4 linked regions of the Nothobranchius furzeri genome follow. The protein of the gene in region 1 purifies or fractionates together with the protein of each later gene. This does not show direct contact. Links are inferred from orthologs where the notes say so. Each region holds a gene or a part of one and is shown on either strand. Other genes may lie near its edges. The genes, in order: lin7c, dlg1b, pals1b and rho guanine nucleotide exchange factor 26.

The links.
Region 2: the proteins of lin7c (region 1) and dlg1b purify together in Homo sapiens (affinity purification with mass spectrometry; 4 studies listed by BioGRID and IntAct, counting the BioPlex papers as one, with this or other methods). This does not show direct contact. The link is inferred for Nothobranchius furzeri from reciprocal best matches to the Homo sapiens genes LIN7C and DLG1.
Region 3: the proteins of lin7c (region 1) and pals1b purify together in Homo sapiens (affinity purification with mass spectrometry; 3 studies listed by BioGRID and IntAct, counting the BioPlex papers as one, with this or other methods). This does not show direct contact. The link is inferred for Nothobranchius furzeri from reciprocal best matches to the Homo sapiens genes LIN7C and PALS1.
Region 4: the proteins of lin7c (region 1) and rho guanine nucleotide exchange factor 26 purify together in Homo sapiens (affinity purification with mass spectrometry; 3 studies listed by BioGRID and IntAct, counting the BioPlex papers as one, with this or other methods). This does not show direct contact. The link is inferred for Nothobranchius furzeri from reciprocal best matches to the Homo sapiens genes LIN7C and ARHGEF26.

Annotation. Positions count from the first base shown.
Region 1 is NC_091749.1:64,461,331-64,466,653, reverse strand, and holds the start of lin7c (protein lin-7 homolog C), read right to left. Parts: upstream 3,132-5,323; 5' UTR 2,972-3,131; coding exon 2,935-2,971; intron 1,210-2,934; coding exon 1,091-1,209; intron 1,001-1,090; coding exon 929-1,000; intron 836-928; coding exon 626-835; intron 1-625. UniProt on the Homo sapiens protein: Plays a role in establishing and maintaining the asymmetric distribution of channels and receptors at the plasma membrane of polarized cells.
Region 2 is NC_091751.1:34,839,525-34,844,202, reverse strand, and holds part of dlg1b (disks large homolog 1), read left to right. Parts: intron 1-761; coding exon 762-857; intron 858-1,442; coding exon 1,443-1,496; intron 1,497-1,581; coding exon 1,582-1,632; intron 1,633-3,549; coding exon 3,550-3,674; intron 3,675-4,678. UniProt on the Homo sapiens protein: Essential multidomain scaffolding protein required for normal development. Recruits channels, receptors and signaling molecules to discrete plasma membrane domains in polarized cells.
Region 3 is NC_091742.1:8,458,035-8,463,180, forward strand, and holds the start of pals1b (MAGUK p55 subfamily member 5b), read right to left. Parts: upstream 3,143-5,146; 5' UTR 2,952-3,142; intron 931-2,951; 5' UTR 777-930; coding exon 449-776; intron 1-448. UniProt on the Homo sapiens protein: Plays a role in tight junction biogenesis and in the establishment of cell polarity in epithelial cells.
Region 4 is NC_091753.1:51,607,074-51,612,419, forward strand, and holds the start of rho guanine nucleotide exchange factor 26, read right to left. Parts: upstream 3,544-5,346; 5' UTR 3,406-3,543; intron 3,056-3,405; 5' UTR 2,968-3,055; coding exon 1,609-2,967; intron 1,004-1,608; coding exon 952-1,003; intron 875-951; coding exon 732-874; intron 1-731. UniProt on the Homo sapiens protein: Activates RhoG GTPase by promoting the exchange of GDP by GTP. Required for the formation of membrane ruffles during macropinocytosis. Required for the formation of cup-like structures during trans-endothelial migration of leukocytes.

The sequences.
Region 1 (5,323 bases):
GACAACAGACGGGAGAAGCGCGTGTGTGTTTATTTTTGCCGTTTGAATCATTGTTTTTTTTAGAGGGGAGCCAAAATGCTCCTATAAATATGACCTAAATGATGCAGGTGGTTTTTCAAGCTTCTCTCTCCTCCTCCTTCATGACCATCGCTGTGCGTTTCTCCTTTGGACAGCACAGCTAGCGCCTCCGGCCTTCATGTGACCAATCCGTGAACCGCGTGTGGCCGAACCGCAGAGAGAGATACGTACGGATCAATGATGATCCGTTGCACCCCACCAACGTATGAAGATCATCAGTTATGACCAAACGACTTTTATTCTGATGGGGCTTCCTCGTCCTCCTCATCAAGCTAACTAATGGAGATGTAATCGGACTCAGACTTTATACCTGCTTATGAGTGATCACAGGATTATGAACACGTAGCCCTTTAAAAACCAGAATATTAAAAAAACTTCTAACACTAAAAGTCAGTCGTTTGGGCTTTTCTGTATGCAGAAATTTCTGAAGATGCATGGATTATCCCTCCCCAAAAAAGCAACATGCTCTAAAACCTGATACGTGCTTCATATTAAGATTCAAATTTACAATTCTTGACCTAATAATGATTCTCTGAGCTGCACGTACCACCCCATTAACAGAGAGAAGCTGGTCGCCTCTTTTCAGGCCTCCATGTCGGTCAGCGATGCCTCCTGGGATGATCCGCGAGATGTAAATAGGCGAGTTTTGCTCCTTTCCGCCCATTATATTGAAACCCAGACCTTCTTCTGTCTTGGGCAGTTCCACAACACGAGGATGGGAGTGTCCTTCACTTGCTGCAAAAGCTGCCACAGTAGCCTTTGAAAATAAAACAAACTCTTTAAAAATGTACAACAATTGATGCATAAAGTAGTTTTGAGACGGAGGAGATTTCTTGTGTATGAGCTTTACTTTAGCTGTGGCGTTGGCTCTGACCTCAGGACTGCTGTTGATGTCTACCGTTTCATACACATGCTCATAAACCTGAGGGGGAAAAAGCACCAAACGAACAGAACTTTATAACAAGGAGGAAGAAAAATCTGTGGAGTTTAGAGTTGGAATGAAGAGTCTCACCTCTCTGACAGCGTTACAGAATTCACTCTGTAGGACTCGCTGCAGCGCCTGCAGCTTCTGCGGAGGCACTTCCCCTGTTCTCTGCAGCTTATCAAGCAGCTCAATTGCACGATTGATATCTATCAAAGAGAGCATAATGCCATCACAGCTTACACACAGTCCAAAACAAACCACTATAAAAGATTAAAATGAGCATTAAATTTGCCTGTATTGATGCCAGCACTCAAGTCTTAAAAGTAAAAGCAGAAAAGGTGCTCGATAAATCTACGTAAAAGGACTATTTGATTTATATTCTTGTCTTTTACTGGACATGTCTTTAAATATTCTAAGACTTCCATTGGGTTTGTTCTGAAAGAAGTGATCTGCATAAGTGAAATGAAGCAGATTCAAAATCCTGAATGGTGTTGAAAAATAAAAAAAGAGAACATCTGCTGGGTAAAAATTTTTAAGAAAATTTTAAATAGTTCAGAGGGTTTTTATATCAACCAGTAAAAAATTACATGTGAAATAAATGACTGTAAAATATAAACAGCACCCCCTACTGCACAGGAAGGCCAAAACTTGTTTATCAATCACACTCATTATGTATTATTAAAGGTGCAGTATGTGGAAATATAGTGAGAATTTTACAGCGAGAAAATCCCAAATGAGTCATGTTTTGGTCATTTTGCGAGGAAAGTTCTACTGAAACATATTTCATTTCCAGCTGGCTGCAGGGATTATCAGTTTTTTTCTTTTTTCAAAACAAAGGAAGGAGGGACATAGTTATTGTTTACCATCAGTGAGTTGGGTTGTCGTGTCTCCTGCGAGCTAACACTGCAGCGCAGACAACTGTAATTTGACGACGGCCGGCAAAAAGCTCCAGAGTTTTTTAATGTGGTTGACGTAACCAAATTTTACCAAAGGATGTCATTTTTACTTAATTTCTACATAATGCACATTTAAAGTCATCTCGATTGAGCGGCACAGACCGATGTTAAATGATCAGATTCCTGACATTTATTAACTAAATGTTTGTTTATGTATTTAGCAGACGCTTTTGTCCAAAGCGACTAACAAGTGATAATCGGCATAAATGGAAGAGAAACGAGTTCCCACAACAGATTTGATCATTTGAACACTTTTAAAGCCACTAGAGACGAGTACATTTAAGGCTAAAATACACATCACCTACTTTCAACGGTTTCTAAGTGATTAAAAACAACCTGCAATTTTTCAAAATATCAAAAAATTAAGATATGTAGCAGGATACTGGCAGAAATAAAGTTTGCATTACAAATATCTCTTCATGAGCTCCCAGTTCAATTCAGAAATATATTTAAAATCGATTTCAAAAAGCACTCAGTAAACAAGCTCCGATTAAAGATTTCTTAGTTTTTCTTTGATGTTTGTGACCAGAGCTGGCTCACAATGAAAGTCGGACTGATACTTTCACTTGTTTTTACACAGATGTGACAATTACAGCTTATTTCACTTTAACAAATGCAATTTGCGTCATGTTCGACGTGTAATTTCTGAGAAGCAAAACGTGCCTTTACTGCTTTAATGACAATATTATACCTCGCATTTATTTCCCAACATACTGACTGGGCTGGTCAATCGCTGCTGTTATTAGCTACTTAGCTAGTGAGCGAATTAAACAAATACCGCTAAGGTATGCTTCGTTTAGCTTGGTCAAGTAAAACGCAGCTCTACGGGCAATATCAGATATATACATTTATGACAAGCAAATGTCAAAATATGTACCAAAAAACAACTCCCAGTTTGATTCAAACAACTAGAGCTAAACTGGGTAAACGTCTCTCGTTCACAACAAATAAAGCTAGCTAGCTAATTAACATTACCTCTTTCCAGTCGCACAGGTTCCCCCAGAGATGCCATTCTCGAAATGAGAGGCTATCTGGTATTAAATAGATACTGCGATACAAGAAATATACAAAAAAAAAAAAAAAAAAACTAAATTCGTAAATCCAGCCGACCGTTTCGTACGCTTAACTGGCACGATAAATCAGATTAGCTAAGTTAGCTCGGCTAGGCTAGCTGCCAGTGTCATGGTGCGTTCAGGGACCCTAGTAAAGCTGATTACTCGGTGGACAAAGCATTCTGTTGACATTTTTAGGTAATTATAAATGACAGATTGAATTCTGCGTATTTCTTATCTTGTTTATTTGTATTGATGTGAAATTTTAAGAGATCAGACGCAGCAACAAAATCACAAATTTTGTAGCAGTTACTTCTGTAACTAAATCTGGAACAGAAAACTTCATTTTAGAAGTTTAGTGTCATTCTGAATACTTTTAGTTCAAGATTAGGTTTCTAGGTTTGATTTAGCTTTATAGAAATATGAATGAGATGATGATGAGTAACCAAAGCAACATTTTTATTGATATTTTTCACTTTCTTAATAGCAAATAATAATTTCAGCTCATCAAACTCAGTTTTTCCAGTCTTCATCAGATTGCACCCTGTCAGTGTCTGGACACCAGGAACCTTGTTAGGAAGCTTGAATGAATGTTCTGGATGGTATCCAGGAAAGCTGATGGGAGGAGCAGCCTCTTTAGTGCCCTCCTCTGGTTTGCTGCAGCTCTTCTAGAGGCTCTGGTTCATAAATCAGCAGAAAACAGCTGCTCTCTGTGGGCTGAAACTTTGCAGGATGATTCATTTCTGACCCCACCCCAGCTGGTGATGAAACACAAACAATTTACCTTGAAAAGCTGGTGGTGAAAAACGGAACCCTGCTGTGACGTACGACTGGATCTCCAACACTGTGCTGCATCAGTAATTTCCTTTATTGGACAACAGATGCTCTGATTTGCTTGTTTTCATTCATCAGGGACAAACCTGGGTCAAATAAATGCCACAGTATTCATGTATTGTCTCTAAGCTCTTTTGATGCTCACATTAAATCTATAATTAGACGTCTTCTTGCTTGCAGAGTGCAACGAAAATGGCCCAAGGTCTCTGTTCAGAGAAACTGGAGCACATACTTTATGGAGCAAGCTTCCCTGTTTGATTCATTGTATTTTTTTATGCAGAGGATACGTTAGTACTTGACTAGGGCAAAACGGCTTCAACTCCAACTTAAGGTGGAATTTCTTTGAAGAGCAGGGCAGTTTTTTTTCCTGCAGCTGCATTGTGGCCTTGAAAAGAAGCCCGTTGTTTGATGTTTACGACAGCAGCACATTTAAGGATCTACTGCATGCTTGTCGTCTCTCTTTGAGTCTAAGTAGTTTAAATTGTGCTTCAAACAAAGCAAAACAAAGATACCTCACAGAATTCCAACTGCTGTCACTGGTGGGTCCATCAAGGCAGAGTTTATTTTTCTTCGTTCGGCAGATCTCAGAAAGTTGCAGCGTCCTCGTTAGTCGCACTTACCTTCAGGTTGGAGAGGAGGAAGTAAAATGAAGTGTTTCTCCGGAAATCTTGATGAAACATTCGGTGCATTTTATGTGTTTATTTAGAAATCTTCCATACTGAGGATTTGGTTTTTGCTGACCTAGTTCAACCTTGAACGACGGCGTCGACACCCGGCAAGGGAAGTTTTCTCACCCTCTAATGCGCCGCTGGAGGGAACATTGATGTAAAGCTGCAGAAGCCTCCCAGAAGCAAAGACTACCTTTTCCTTCTGATCGTGTAAAGCTCCATGAAATCGGTGATGATTGTTCTTCGGACTCAAAGACAGGATTACCCTACTGTCACAACAAAACGTTGAGTGCATAAATGTACACAGATGTATGGGTGGTTGGATCCATCACTGTCAAACTCGGGCACGCCTGATGTGTACCCAACTAGCCTGCACTTGAACATGTAGGCACGCTCCTTCTGATGTCGAGTTCTTGTAATTGTGAAACATCACTCCAGCGGGTTATTATCATCAGGTAAATCTCCAAACTTTGGCATGTAAATAAAAAAAAAGTGTCAGAGCTCAGGTCGTTGTGCCGGTGGGAAGCAGGCGGTGGTTTGGGGGCATTTTCCAAACTTTTTATCTTCTCATTAACTTCAAGAGTGGCATCCTTCCCACCCACCGATGGTGTTTGCTGATGATCCCGCAGCCCCCAAAACCAACCGAGCAACTTCACCGACGTTTCTCAAATGTGATGCAGTTCATATCTGTCGTGTGTGTCAGAAACACGTCGGGTTTTCCACGCTTGCACGTCTCCATCATGCGCCTGCTTCTACCTTCTCAGAGGCCTAATTGAATTAAGTGTCCGCTCTGGGAGATCGGGGCTCGAA
Region 2 (4,678 bases), on another chromosome or scaffold:
AATTATCTTCATCGAAACCAGAGGTCTTCTGGGTCGCTGCTACCGGAGCGCCTCTAATTGGGCCTCTCTGCCAGCAGCTTTCCGAGCAGCGCCTCAGAACTGGGCCTGTCGGATCAATGCGTTCAATTTTCCCGGCTAATTTTAGCATGTGTTTGTTTTCCATGAGGTTCTGCTCCAGCGGCTCCGATGCTGCAGAACCTCATGGAGGTCTGGTGTTGCATAACAGAAGATGTGATGAAAGTGTCCTCGCTCATCTTCATCAGACCTGCTGGTTGTTCGTCTAGCAGCAGAACCCTCAGTTCTGTTGGGTGGAGATGTGACTTCTCAGATCTTCATCCTTTATTGGGATACTTCTGATCCAGGAACAGTTTTGTTGGGGTTTTGTGTAGAGCTGGCCCTGGTCCTGCAGCAGATCACACACACACACACACACACACACACACACACACACACACACACACACACACACACACACACACACACACACACACACTCGGGGTGGTGTTAATCCACAGAGCTGCACATCAGGACCATCTGGAGGCTGACGTGTCAGAAAATCTGTCAATCACTCGTCCTCCTCCTGTGATTGGTTGATAATTCTGACACTCCACTGCCTTGTCTGGTTAGGCTCCACCCACCCAAAACCAGACCACTCCTTCCTGCCTGGAACACCTTCACACACTCGTCCATCATCCTCCTGCTGCTCATCTGACCTGCTCTCTGTTTGTCTGACCTTTGACCCTCAACATGCTATTGTTCAGCAGGCTGAGGTGGCCCCGCCCTCCTCTCCCATAATCCCTGTGATCCCCATCTCTCCAATCCCAGCCGAGACCACCGCCATACCTCCAGCATCACAGGTCTCGTTTATTTTATTTTACTGCACTCTCTCTCTCTCTCTCTCTCTCTCTCTCTCTCTCTCTCTCTCTCTCTCTCTCTCTCTCTCTCTCTCTCTCTCTCTCTCTCCCTCCATCCTCCATCCTTCCATCATCCACCCCTCCACCCACCCCTCCCTCCACCCAGAGGTTTATCTCTGCCTGGTTTGGCTGCTTGTCTCTCTGTTGACTTCCTGCTGTCCAGCTGTGGCTCTGATGAGCAGATTAGAGATAAAACTGAGGCAGAAATGTCACACTTCCCCCATCCGAGCCCATCTGGCTCCCCCTGCTCAGAAAGCAAGCGAGCAGACCCGCGCTGAGCTGGAGGAGGAGTTGAAGGAGCCCACGGTCTCGTCCTGTCCTGCAGTGTCTGAGCCGTTTAATCTCAGGCTTCATGCTTCAGAACTGCATCTTCTGCAGCGTGAAGAGCGATGATGTACGTACGGCCGCTGGAGGAGGTGTCAGACTAGCAGGGTGGAGCCCGGGCTTCCTGGGTGGATGTTGATGGGTTTCTGTCAGGATGTAGGTTGGTGTTTCCTCTGTGATGCCTGATGTTTGTTGTGTCCTTAGGCCAACCCCCCTCCTGTGGTGGTCAACGCAGACAGCCTGGACACGCCCCCATACGTGAGTTGATTGTCCCCTCAGGTCTCCAGTAGGACACCATCTTCTGAAGGAGTCCAGCTGTGACCCGTCTGTGTCTGTGTTGCAGGTGAACGGGACTGAGGCTGATTATGAGTACGAGGAGATCACGCTGGAGCGGGTAAGGAGGCCAGAGATGACTGTATCTGTAACCTAAACCCACGGCTGCTGGTGCTGGGTGATTTGGACCAAAACCTGCATCTCAGTGTCTTCAGCAGAGTTCTGATAAATGATGCAGCCATGGTGGGAAAGCTCACTGGAACACCACTGTCTCTAAAATTAAAATAAAGCTAAGTTTAGGGCAGACCATTGACCCAGAGATTTTTATGAATCTGTGGATCATTGTTCCTGTTGGAGTGCAGGAACTCCTGTGAGGACCACTTAGAGCTGGAACTGCTAGCGGTAGCATCGCCTGCTAACTACAAACTCACTGTGTGTTTTTATATTGATCATTTTGTTTCTTTATAAAGTTTATTTTTATTTTTGTTTATTTTTTATTGATTTTACAGTCATGGACATGCCGAATCCCAGTTTAGCTAAGTGTGATGAATGGCTTTAATCTGGGAGGAGGTGAGGAGTAGGGTTGGGCATAGATTGGTACCGAGACCAACTGTCAGTTTGTGTCAAGTTTTTTTATTCCGATTCCTAGTTTCGATTCCTAGTTCCGACTTCTAGTGTGCTGCCCGGAAGAGGAATCTGCGGCCGGTCTCCGTGAAAAATAAACATGATCCGCACATTCTGATAAACACATTTCAGAGCTGGTCACACCTGCTGTCTGTCGCTGCTGGTCTGCTACCTGCAGAGAGCCGTGTGCAGCAGCAAGCCCCCCCCCCACCCCCCCCCCACCCCCCCACCCCCACCCCCCCGATCTGATCTGCTAGGTTGTTCCTGTTCCAGCTTCATTTAAGTTTCAGGTTCCCTTCTGACTGAAGCTGCTGCAGCAGGTAGGTGTAGACTCTGTCATCCTGGACATGATCATCCTGAGAGTTTTAGCTGAAAACAGCTGGAAGTTTCTGGATATGTTGGAGACATTTAGCCTCTCATCCCAGAGGCTTCTTCCAGACTTTGGTTGTGGTCAGAAACAAACACACTGGTTGTGCTGCAAGTCTCTTTCTTTTTTTCTCCAAAACATGTTTTTGTCTAAATGAAGATGATGTTATTTTTCATAGAATTACAATTCATGTTGAAGTTAAGATTATTTCATCAAGTAGGACCTGTGGTTAGCTGGCTCATGTAACGCATGTCATGTCTTGAAAGAATCTGAATCGATAGGGACTGGAATCAAAACGAAGAATCGGAATTATTCAAATTCAGACGATGCCCAACCCTACTGAGGAGGTGGAGTTGGGGGTCCTGAAGGGAGACACTGATCTAGAGGATGGCAAACATCTCCCTTCATCAGGACCAGAGTCCTCCAAGCCTTAGATCTTCTCGTCCGTGTTGCCCGGACCCGTGTGACCCAGCTGAGACCACAGGTGATGGGTCACACGGGTCTGGTCCAGGTCTCGCTCTCCTGTCAGAGGGGAACCAGTTTAACTTAGTTTACCTTCACAGAGTGAAACCAGTTTCTGTTGGTGACCTGCAGCTGAGCTTACTTCAGCCCACTTAATGTATATCACCAAACCAGAGTCGTCTCAAAGTCAGCATTCCAGTAGAGCTCAGGTCACTAAGCCAATCAGTAAAAAGTTTCTATATAAGGAACCCAGCAGGTTGCATCGAGTCACTGTCTAGTGTCAGAGTCTTTACAGCAATCCTCATACTAAGCAAGCATGCAGCGACAGTGGAGAGGAAAACTCCCTTTTAACAGGAAGAAACCTCCAGAGGATCCTGGCTCAGTATAAGCAGCCATCCACCATGACTCACTGGGGATTGGGGGATTAATCCAGATTAATTTTAGTCTGATGCTCTTAATCCAAACCTGCTTCCAGAGGAATCCAGATCAGGACCTAGAAAAGACCAACCGTTAAAAATAAATGAAAGTTTAGTCATTTCAGTTCCTCTGTGTTTCTCTCTGATGTGTGGTTGTCATGGTAACCAGGGGAACTCGGGGCTGGGCTTCAGCATCGCTGGCGGCACAGACAACCCCCACATCGGCGAAGACCCCAGCATCTTCATTACCAAGGTCATACCTGGGGGGGCAGCTGCCCAGGACGGCCGGCTCAGGTCAGGCTCTCTCACACACACACACACACACGGGTAACCCTTCACCTACTGGACAAAGGTTTTTAGAGACACACCTGGAGGTTTATTGTGTGGACCAACTGTTCTACTGGAGAAATTTTATTGAGCTTCTGGATGTGGAGGGACCGTTCCTGTTGGAGATGGGTCTACTCCGTCAGTGATGCAAGGCTTTGAACGGGGAGGCAGACGTTTTGAATTTCCAAGGTGTGTACTGTGTCTACAGCTCAGGTGGAGTTCTTGGTGGCCGTTTATGACTGGACCCACAAGAATGCTAGCGTTCAGATGATGAGTAACATCTACATTTCCATAGAAAGGTGCTGCTTTGACACAACGTTTGTGTTGTCCCGTAACTCATAAATAATATCATTGTAACCAGAGCCTACCTTACTTCGTTGTTCTGGTTCTGATAGAACTGGATACGGATAGCAGGCAGCAGCACCTTTCACATCTGCATTCATTATGCAGCAGCAGTGAAAGCAGTTCTGACCTGGCCCACATGAGGTAGAGCAGTTCAGGTCTCGGGTTCTGGACCTGATTCTACTGCGTTTCCTTCCCGTGGGTTTTACCGTGGCACTGCAGAGAGAGAGGAGATGAGGACGCACCTCCAAAGCGTTAGCATTCGTCCATGGTGGTAAAGAAACACTAAACGTTGTCTCTGGCGAGCCGGTTTTGGGCTGAAAGTCCGTCGGGTTATGTTGATGGTAGTCTTTGGGTCTGGTTTGGCTCTGCTACGGGCAGGGCGGGGCGACTCTGAGGACAGACGATAATGTAGTTTAGCTGTCAGCCTGTAGAAGTTCCTGCTGAACTTTATTCTGCATCATGAACCAGGGTGGCCTGGATTTATGTTAAATTCAACTTTAGTCTACCTTTGAGTCAGATGTTTTCTACTTGTTTGCTTGTTTCTTCTCCTCAGAGACACAAGGAGATAATAAGAGTCGCATGTTAGTGTTAGGGTTAGTTAGCTGGTTAGTGAAGGGGAGCTAGCT
Region 3 (5,146 bases), on another chromosome or scaffold:
CTCTGTGCAGAATTAAACAGAGGACGAGTCTGGCAGGCCAGGCTAGTACTTTAGTGCATCTTAGTTCAAATTTAAATATTCTGTCTAAAACTGTCAGTGTTGCGTCCTCGTCAGGTAAAAACTCTGCACTGCATTATCTTTAAATCTGCCATCGTTATTGGCTAAGAGGTACACTATGACGTTAGCTGGTACATTATGACGTCACAATGTTGTTGTGAGCCTGTGTGTGTATTTGTTGGTGGCTCCGCCCTCTTGGTCTGCCAGGCAACAACATTTGTTGCATTTTTCAAACATGAAGTGGGAGTGGAGTAAAACTCTGGTAGGGCGCGACTTGCTCTTTAAAAAACCTCACAAGTCTATTCCTCCCTGAGGGCTGCGTTGCTCCTTCTCTTCTTCCGTTTAACCTCCTTGAGCCTTTGCCAGCACCCACTTCCTCCACTGAACTCACCAACAACAGGACCCAGACAGGCCGCATCTTCGGAAGCCTTTTCCTTCCTCTCAAAGGTGGGATTGTCAGTGCCAACTTTTTGGTTCTGCGACAGCTTTTTGAGCCTCAGAGAGGCGTTTGGATCAATGTCATGTTTCCCCTTGTTGTCCTCCTCTCTCCTCCTCCTCAGCTCCTCTTGGTAATATTGGATCCTCTCCATGTGGGCACTGCAGTGAGGGGATTTGACAAGGCTGCTTTCCTGCCCCGGACAGTCCACAGCCCTCTCTCTGTGGCTCATGGCCTGACCAGAGGCCTCTTGCACATAACCGTTCATATGGGATGTTATCATCCCTGTTGCTGCGGCGTACAGTTCAAACCACCCCAGGGTTTCCTGAGGTCTGCCAGAGCGTCACGAGAAGCTGCTGCTGGAAACTATCAGCTCAAGGGTCAAGGCACGCCATTGGAGGATGGAGTCCTCTGTGCCGGTTCAGTCATCGCTCCTCCTGATACAAAAACACAAATAAAAATAATTTGTTTTAGAAATGTTTTAACTTAAAATCATTCAATGTATTTTTTTTTTTAGTTTTTAAAACTTGAACTTCAGCAAAAATCTCAGACTGTATCAACAACTATTGAAAAAAGGTTAAGGGATTTGTTTGGGCGTGCTATCCTTCTGCTCACTCAGCAGACTTTGTTCATAGTCTCACACAACATCAATGTCAAACTCACAAACTACCTGGGGCTTCGCTAAAACACATAATCTGGCTGCGTGTCGATCAGGACAAACTTTTACTCCTTTCCACTCTCGTCCGTCTCTCCACTAATCTAATTTCTAACATGGAGAGCTTTCAGGATTCGGTCACCTTAAATCCCTTCTACACAGCCTCATCCAGGCTCACCTGTCCACCAGAACACCTCAGCCAAAATATAGCTTGTTGCTTGTGTTGATACTCAAATAAAGCACAAATCTGTTCAGCATATCTTGGAAGCGGAGTTCACCTTCATAATTTTAAATAATTTGATTCTACTTAATGTTTTGTTTACTGTATTTGCTAATTGATATGGATTTCTGAATAATTTTACATTTTGTACCTTGTGAAACAAAAATAAACTGACTCGACTTGAGTATATTAGGTGAATTAAAAAAATTAAAACTGAAAATGGCACATAGATATGCATTACCACCTGGGTAATGTTGTGAATGTTGTAGATTAAGATCTATTCTGTTGATGTTATAATCTGGATTTGATGGTATGACGTGCCTCAAAGTGGAAATTTTCTAATAGAAAATCCTGTTCGAAAACAGTAAAAGGATTAAAAGCCGAGTTGTTTTTGCACATTATTAAAGTAAAATTTTTGATATTTGTGTCATTAATGATTGTATCGCTCTTATTTAAAAAATTTTTGCCCTTCTTTGCAAATCAAATTGCCACAGATTGAAAATGAGAATCAAACACATGCACATTGTCCTTGAAAGCCACGTTTGACATTCCTGTGTCAAAGTCAGTCGTGTCCCCTACAATTAACTGGCAGCAACTCTCCACAGCTAATCACGGCTGGCAGGTCCACTCCTCCTAAACCCTCCCCTCCAGAACCATTTAGTTGTGTTTAGTGTAGCAGGGTACTGCTGAGGAGCAGCAGAGACTGCCAGCAGACCATCTGTTCCCGTGGGCTTAATTAAGCTTGAGATCTCATGCTCTGCTGCTGCTAACTGGTTGAAGCAGTTCTGAGAAGGATGCAGGGTAGAGAGTGGCGCCTGGGTACAGAAGTGAGGATGAGAGGAAGTGCACAAACCAAACAAGGTGATACAAAGAAACTGGCTCCGCTTTGTGGCCTCAAATTCAGCCCTCTGCATTTTATATATTATATATGACCAAACAAATCAGTAAAGCACATTTTCTTACATAAATTGAGATACTTGTCTTACTCTCACCATCCTCTCGTGTTTGACAATGTGCATAAAGTCATATTGTGTCAAAAACATATTTTTAAACAGTAGAGCAGATTATTACGTACACAGATATTTGTTTAGTGAAATAAAACATAAAATATGACTATAAACACTAGAAAAATAGTTTTTTTCCCGACTTGGACATTGCTCAACCCGTGTGGTGACACAAATACATTATTTTTTTAAGTTTTCCCCACGTTTGAACGTTCAAGTTATATTTAAATTATCAAGCAACGCTAATCACATGTTTAATAAACTTGAATGCTTCCTTTATTAGAAATAGTGCCCAAACAGCTAGAGGCTAGTTGGGGTAAACTATTTTAAGTCGATTCAAGGAAACACTAAAGACAGCAGTGACATAAAAACGTGTTCGAATAGTTTTGCAAAGTAAGTTAAACTTTCATACAAACCAACTCTGTAGAATAACAAAAGTTTTTCACTTAAAAACAAAGTTTCTGGTTTTATCGTCGGTGTTTAACACCAACCGAAGCGCCCAATTTAGCTCAGAGACTAGCGGCACATCGCTGCTAAGCTAACAGCATAGCCGTCCCGTTACAGAGAGCCTCTACTCACCACTTCAAAACCAGCGATGAGTCCGAGTTTCGGGAGCAGGAAGCGGCTCTTTTAAAATAAAATCTCCGGAGAACATCCGAGCAGCTCGTGAATGAGAAACTTGCCGTCTTCTCCCTAGGAACGCGTTCAGCGGTTGTTGAGTTTTGTCCAAGCGCAGTCGGGACACTTCTGAACTGCGCCACCGGTTGTTTTCAATCGTTTCCTTGGCAACACTGCAGCTCTACAGCGCCATCTTTCCGACAGACACGTAACGACAATGTCGTAAATAACAATACTATGTAAAACATTGAATAAGGCGGATTAAAATAGACACTCAGAGTTTATGAATTTAGACTTTTACCAAAAAAATCAATTTTAAATATATACCTGTAGAACAATTAATTATAATGATTAATTTCGTTATTTTATTTACTGTAAACTCCATTGTAATTATTCAACGGTGCCATAAGGTCACAATTAACTAAAAAAAAAAGCATTAAGAACATCCGGCAAGCATAATCAGATAAATTAAATTATAAGTACCCAAATCAGCACTACACCAAATCATAATTCCAACAGTGATGAGACTTACATGTTTGCATTTTTTAACATTCTAGCTAAGGTATATTTTTCTTGATGAAGCATATTTCAACACATGAAATCAAAATAGTTTAGAATAGCTTTTGTAATAGAACTGCAAATATCACTCCATTTGCAGATAAAAGCCACTAAAAAGAAAATTAGCGTAATATTTATTCAAAAGTGTGTCTGCCACACTTAGGCCATTGCATTAAAAAAACATTCTTAGGCAACATCACACAACTTGACAAGTTTGAAAAGGGTTTGAGAAAGGACTGGAGTGTCTACTGGATTCATCTTAGTTCACATCTTCCCACCTTTGCTCTGTGCATTTATACTTTTCCCGCAGGCACAGAAGGAGCTTCCAGTCCAGCTGAGACGTCATCTCTCCATGAAGAAATCCTGGAGCTATCACAAAGTGCCTCATTGCATCAACAGTGACCCCAACTCAATGATAAATTATACATGATATCCTCTAAACTATATTTATGGCACTGTTCTATGAATGGTACACAGTTTTATTGCAAGTCTTTACTGTTTCACACATTAAAATGACAGCGCAAGCCCTGTAGAGCAGAAAAATGTCTAATTTGACTTAATAAAGAGATTATATGAGGGACCTTGCAGATCACATGATGATCACCAGGAGAAGCCAGAGAGGTCTGAAATTTAGGGACAGGTTCACCAGAATTATGCATTTGTTGTGTCTATAGGTCATTTTTTGCAGATTCTAAAGTCTTTTTAGAATTATGTTCAAAACCCTAAATGTCCAAGCCCAATATTTAATCTGACATCACATGAAATCTAAACTTTCAGAGCAAAAGGTTGACCTCAGAGGTTACAAGTCAGAGCATTTAATTATCACAAACAAGTCTGGATAAGGGAAATTTAAGCTTTTTGCATTTACGTTTAACTTCACTAATTTCTTTCAGAGAAATATATTTTAAATGTATTATTTTCTTGAGTAAAACTTGATATGTTTAGTTTTTGTGTTTTGATTAACTTGCAAATTGTTATAACCTAAAAACTAATCAAGTGTAACTTGATGAAGGAGCTATTCCTCCAAGGTTATTTAACCTTTTCCACAGTTCCCTTTGACACAGCGCCAGAGTGCATGAAACAGCCTCAAGATCTCAGTTCTCAAGATCCCATGAAGTTCACCGCATGTTAAGTGAAGTATGGACAGGCCATTCTGCACTTCTCTTTTTAAGCTGAAACCCATCAAGCTGGGAAAAATCTGTTGTTTTGTGAACCAAGCAACGGTACCTTTCAGAATAAAAGCTGAACTCGCTGACCCAAGGAGGGTCCCCTTTTGACGCTGTGAAACACCTGTCACTTTTTACCTGGAGACTATCCAAAGACTGGTTTGTCGTACTGTCGACGCTGTTTCATCGGCTCCAGTACCAGAGGAGGGTCGTGGACCTGGCATCTCTCTTCTCTTATTTCTCAGTTAATACAAAGTGTTATCAAAATCCCTGCAATAAAAAGATCCAATCTTCTGATTTAAATTACCCAGTGTCCATAAGATGGAATTCATACTCGATATGAATTTTTAATGTCTTATGGTCCATTCTCACTCCCAGCGCGTCAAAAACAAACGCTTGGTCAGCCACCCTCCACGTCAGACCCCTGATGCC
Region 4 (5,346 bases), on another chromosome or scaffold:
TCACCAGTCTCTGCTTCCAGTCCAACAACTTCAAACGAACGATCAGATAAGACAGGAATTTTTAAGTCGGACGCTAAATTGGCACATCTGCTTCTGATAGTTTTTGGTGTCCCTTCGTTCCAATATCACAAAATGCACAGCCACCACGCGCCTCCCTACAGGCAACATTTCTAAAATATTTAGAGTCTGACGAGCACACAGGGATTGCCAAGATGTTGGCATCAAGCCTGGCAGCGTTTCCAGGACTTCCTGTGGCTCTGGCGGACTGTCTGACTCCCGGCCGGCCGGAGCCCAGGAAGACATTCCCTTGCTGATAAACTTGAGTGAGGGGCAGAGGAAAGCAGGGGCAGTGGGAGGATGGGTATGGGAGTGTGGCCAAACTGGTTGTGACAGCATTCTTCAAAGCTCTAGAATTCCAAAACTTCTCCACCACAGCCCTGAGATAGTGAGCGTGAAGTGTGGAGAGAAAGGGGCACAGAAGATATCAGGAGAAGGCAGGAATCTGTAGCGTGTGGGTGGCACCCCACAGTGCAGAAAACCCCCAATTCCTGCTTTTAAAGGTATGGCGAGAATTCACTTTTAGTTGAGGTTAGGGTTAGGAATAAAACGGCATTGCTTAGGGTTAGGGTGTGTGTGCGTGTGCGTGTGCGTGTGCGTGTGTGTGTGTGTGTGTGTGTGTGTGTGTGTGTGTGTGTGTGTGTGTGTGTGTGTGTGTGTGTGTTGTGTCTAACCACGCTGAGCTGGCTCCAAGAAGTACGTATTGGTCTATACTGCACGACAATGCCGTTATCAGGTTTGGGTTCCCTGGAATAGGCGTCCTCATCGGAATCATTATGCAAAGCCTTCTCTTGGTAGTTCTGGTAAAGCTCTTCCTCTGAAAAAAGGGGAAAAAAAAACTAAAGATGAAGAAGCGCACTGATCACAAAGAAGAGTAAGATGACTGCGTCTCACCTTCACTGTCAAACGTCCGCTGAGCTATCAAGAGTTTCTTCTTATTTAGAGTCTACAAGAAAAGTGTCACAACTTTAAACTCCATGGGACCAAAACACCAGCTGTTCTTGACCTCCTTTCCTGACACATATTTAATGACAGAGTCAGTGTGTTTTTAAGTGTGTTTGTTTAGACGTAGCGTCTCGTTGCGTCTGGTCTTCCAACAAACAAGTTAATTGTTTCCCTGTGAGGCCTTGTCCTCACGTCTGCCGCTGCTAAGTTTGTTCCACAATGGTCAGCTTGTGCAGTGGTTTTATAATTCGGACTTTAGCCCTTCTGATACTGAAAATCTGTCAAAGCAATCTTTGTGCAACACAGAGAAGCCATCAGAGTTATTAACTGAGACAAAGACAAAACATAACTTGTTTCAAGCTAAGGAAAATACAAAGGTATACAGGTTATGCTAGGATTATCAGAATGAAGTTTAGACATAAGAACTTTTCAAACAGCGAAATGTTGTATTAAACTTTCTTTACAACAAATTAAGAGGGAAAATGTAATTTGATGAAGATTAAAACAATAAAAATCTCAATAAGACCTTTCAAAGTTGGTCCAACTAATGCAGGCGTCTCAAGACAATTATGTTCAAGCATTCCTTTGGATAACAGATGTACCTACCAGTTTCTTGCTTTTGCTTTTAGATTTTTCCACCTGAGGGCTCGGAGGCTTTGGAGTCTTGGGGCTGGCAGTTTTAGGTGTGCTGGGGCTCGTAGGGATGGCTGCTCCAGGACTCGAAGGGCTCAAGGTGACAGGATGTGATGGGCTATCAGGAGAACTTGGGATAGCCAAAGTAAGCCCGCTAATGGCAGGTTGTGACAACCGATGAGTCATTTGATCTACGGAGGGTATTTCCGTTTCTTCTGCCTTCACAACTGCCCTCCTGTAAGAGGTACTCCTCAAACCTTTCCTTGAAAGGGGGCTTTCACTCCCTCTGTCTGCCTCTTCAGAGTGGCCCCCTCCAGTAGAAAAGTAGCCTCCCGTTTCCACCATGCTGAGTGTTTTTTGCCCTCGCTTGGGAAGGTCTAACCCCAGCCTGGTCATACCCTGGCTCTGTGTTCCAGAAGGATGCGCCTTACTCAGCCGAGTTTCAGACACCAAGCCTTTGGGGATGAGCTGCTGGGTGCCCATTTTCCAAGCGGCGGCGCTGTTGGTGCTCAGGATGATCGACGGACAAGGCGAGACAGCTGGGGATAGTGATGGTAAGGGCGATGTGGAGGAGATGGAAGAGGACGATGAGACATTCAGGGCGTCTTGTGAGGAGGAAGATGTCCGAGACTGCCTGACCAGGGAAAATCCTCGGTCTGCTGGTGAGGGGGAGCGAGGAGTGGAAGGGTCAGAGGAGGTCAAAGACAAGAGTGAGGGGATGCTGGACGTGGAGCTGTTGGAGGGTGTGAGGGTACCGTGTGATGACGGTGAGGAGCTCGATGAAGAGGATCGTGAAAATGTTTCATAGTTGTTGTTGTTGACATTTGTAGAACAGCTGAAAGGATCAGCTTCGGATGAAAATGAATTCTGTTTTCTCTGTAAGCTGAGACTCTTGGGACTGGAGGTGATTTCAGACAATACAGCTTGTCCATTACTGGTATTCCCTCTGCCACTGTCTCCATTACACACTTTGTTGTCCAGTGAAGCAGATTTGTTATTGTCAGATCTAAATTTGGCCAGAGAGAATCGCCCACTGGACAGATGGCCTATGCTTATGCTCCGAACCACTCTGGTTTTCCTTGAGGGCTTCTGTAAAACGTGCTTCATCACCGCGGTGTTGTTGTGAGCAGACTGAGCTGATCCCGCCTGTCTCTCAGCTGGCTGGCTGTCCTCCACAGGGACATCAGCAGTCATGACCCCGTTTATGCGATAACTAACGGGCCGCTGCTTAGACCTGCTCATGTCCAGGGAGCTTTTACGGTGGTCTGTACGCAGTTTCCACAAAGGCGTGATGTTATTATTGGACAGATCGACATCGCTGCCAATATCCATAGTTGTTGCGAGTCCTCGTTGCCGTTTGTGGCTGAACTTCCAGGCTGGAGCAAACTACAGAGCCCTTTTGGGGAGCAGATATCCTCCGCTTGAGATGCACAAGAGGAAAAACACCACTCAGCATTCAAGAGCTCAGGACAGTGTACAAATTCCAAACGTTTACTCATTAACAGGGACTTGGAGCAGACACAACTACAGACAAGACACATGTGGTCAGAAAACAGAAGGCAAACCAGTCAAGACAGATCTTTTTGTATTTACTCATCATAGTGAAATGACCTAATTACAAACTGGTGAGATGACGAGCAGTTACTGTAGAAGTCCAAACAGGAAACAACAAGGCACCAGATTTTAGTGTTGTTTTTAATCTATTTATGAGGCAAGGTGCTGTTTCTGATTACCAGGAGAAACTAAAAGCAGGTTAAAAGTTAAACTTACCTCCTAACCTATCACTCTGGACGTGCTCTTTACGCCTGAGCTGTCCGAAAAGCGCATTTTTAGCGAAATGATGACCAAAAAACAGAGAAGTTTAAGGAGTTACTGACAGAGAGGATTCATGCCTGCCACCCTGACCGCGTCTGTGGGAGCGCTGAGGAGTTTGAATGCAGGGGGGAGGTGGAGGAGGAGGAACAGCAGTACTCAAGTTCAGGAATTCACTCAGATAGTTTCTACTTCAGCATATTGGAGAGGGTTTCCGGGAAGACAATGAAGCTTTTTGTAGCAGTTGGCCAGGCTTGTTGATGAAAATCAAGCAAATGTGATGAAAAACAGGGTGTAGGCTACAATAAAAGTGTAATTAGAAACTGTTATTTTACAAGTAAGTCCTCGATAGTCAATTTTCCAAAAGGTTTTCCCACTTTTCCAACACGCCTGTTTTAAAAGCTATTTTACCTGCTTTTCTTTGGCGCCACCGTGTGGTAGATTGTGATACTGCCAAATATCTGAACACAACAAGAAATGGAACTATATAAAAACAATTAAACTCAAACGTGTGTATCAAATCTACTTTATTACCCACATATGCATCACTGTGGACGAACATTATAAAGTATAATCATTTCTGATGACCTCGTCCTGATTTATAGATTTCATAACCATTCCATTAAAATGCATTGGGCAATGTGTGAGTCGTGTTTTCATGCATTTTTGATTGCACAACTCCGTGTGTGACAGAATGTCCCCATTAAATGAACACACATGCATTCCTCCAGGCTTAAAAACAAATTACTCATTCCAAGTAAATGCCAGCTTTTATAGCGCTTAATTGCTCCCTACTGTCAAAGTGCTTTTTGTGCTGTCGTTTTTTGACCACTAGGGGTCATGATTGCCCTGTTTGCCAATGATAGCTCATATCATTGATTGAGAAACATCTGTCAGACTAAGTGCAATCTGAAGTTTTGCTTCCAGAGTGTTGCCTTTTTTTATTAAACTAACTAAAAATGACAACAGCAAAAAACATTTCGTTTAAATTCTATTTGTGAATCATTGTGTTATTTCATTTAAATATGCTTTATCAGTCCATCTGCCTCACAGGACGTTTACATGGAGTAAAAACCCCTTCGTGGACACCCCCTTTCATGTTCCAACTTCTACATTTTTCAAAAGTTTTCGTAATGAACCTGAACAACCTGCAGCTCATTGTCTTAGTAATTAAGCTCCTCATAATGAAACTCTTTCTGCTTCTGTCAAATTAAAATTGAATTTAATTTGTCTGTATATTTTCAGTAGAAAATAGTGAAAATGTTAAATGTGCCCAGAAAAAGGCTTAGAGTCAAAATGAAATGTGATTATGGATTTTTTTTTTTTGAGAAATGCAAACAGACGTAATTACCTACTAGCTTCTGGAATAAAACAAAATACATTTGCAAATAAACAAAAGTGCATTTTCTAAAAATAATTAATTTTAAGTTGTGGTTTACTCATTCTTTCAATACATTTGCACTCTTCTCTAGTGTAGAGAAAAGCTTTGATAAGCCTGCTCTGAGGTGCAGAAGTTAGCTGGTGGGATATGCACACACCTCCCTTCTTACTGGCTAGCAGAAGACATTCAGCCATGTTGCAAAGTCACTCAACAAAACACTCTCTCCTCGCCCCATAATTAAAACAAAAAACAAAAGCCTTCCTGTGGGTGGGCGCAAGCCAAGATAGGCAAGGTCATATATGCAAATTCACAGTGTGACATAGATATGTGAGGATTTTCAACTCCTAGCATTTCACTGCTTATTGTCTATCAGAATGGAAATAGGTGTAGAAGACTTTATTAATGTTCAGCCTGCAGGAAAAACCTATTATAATCATAAAAAATAATTTTAAATGTTTTTCAGTCAACCACACCTTAAATTTATGTTTCTTCTAAACTGTTTGGAACCTGAATATGAT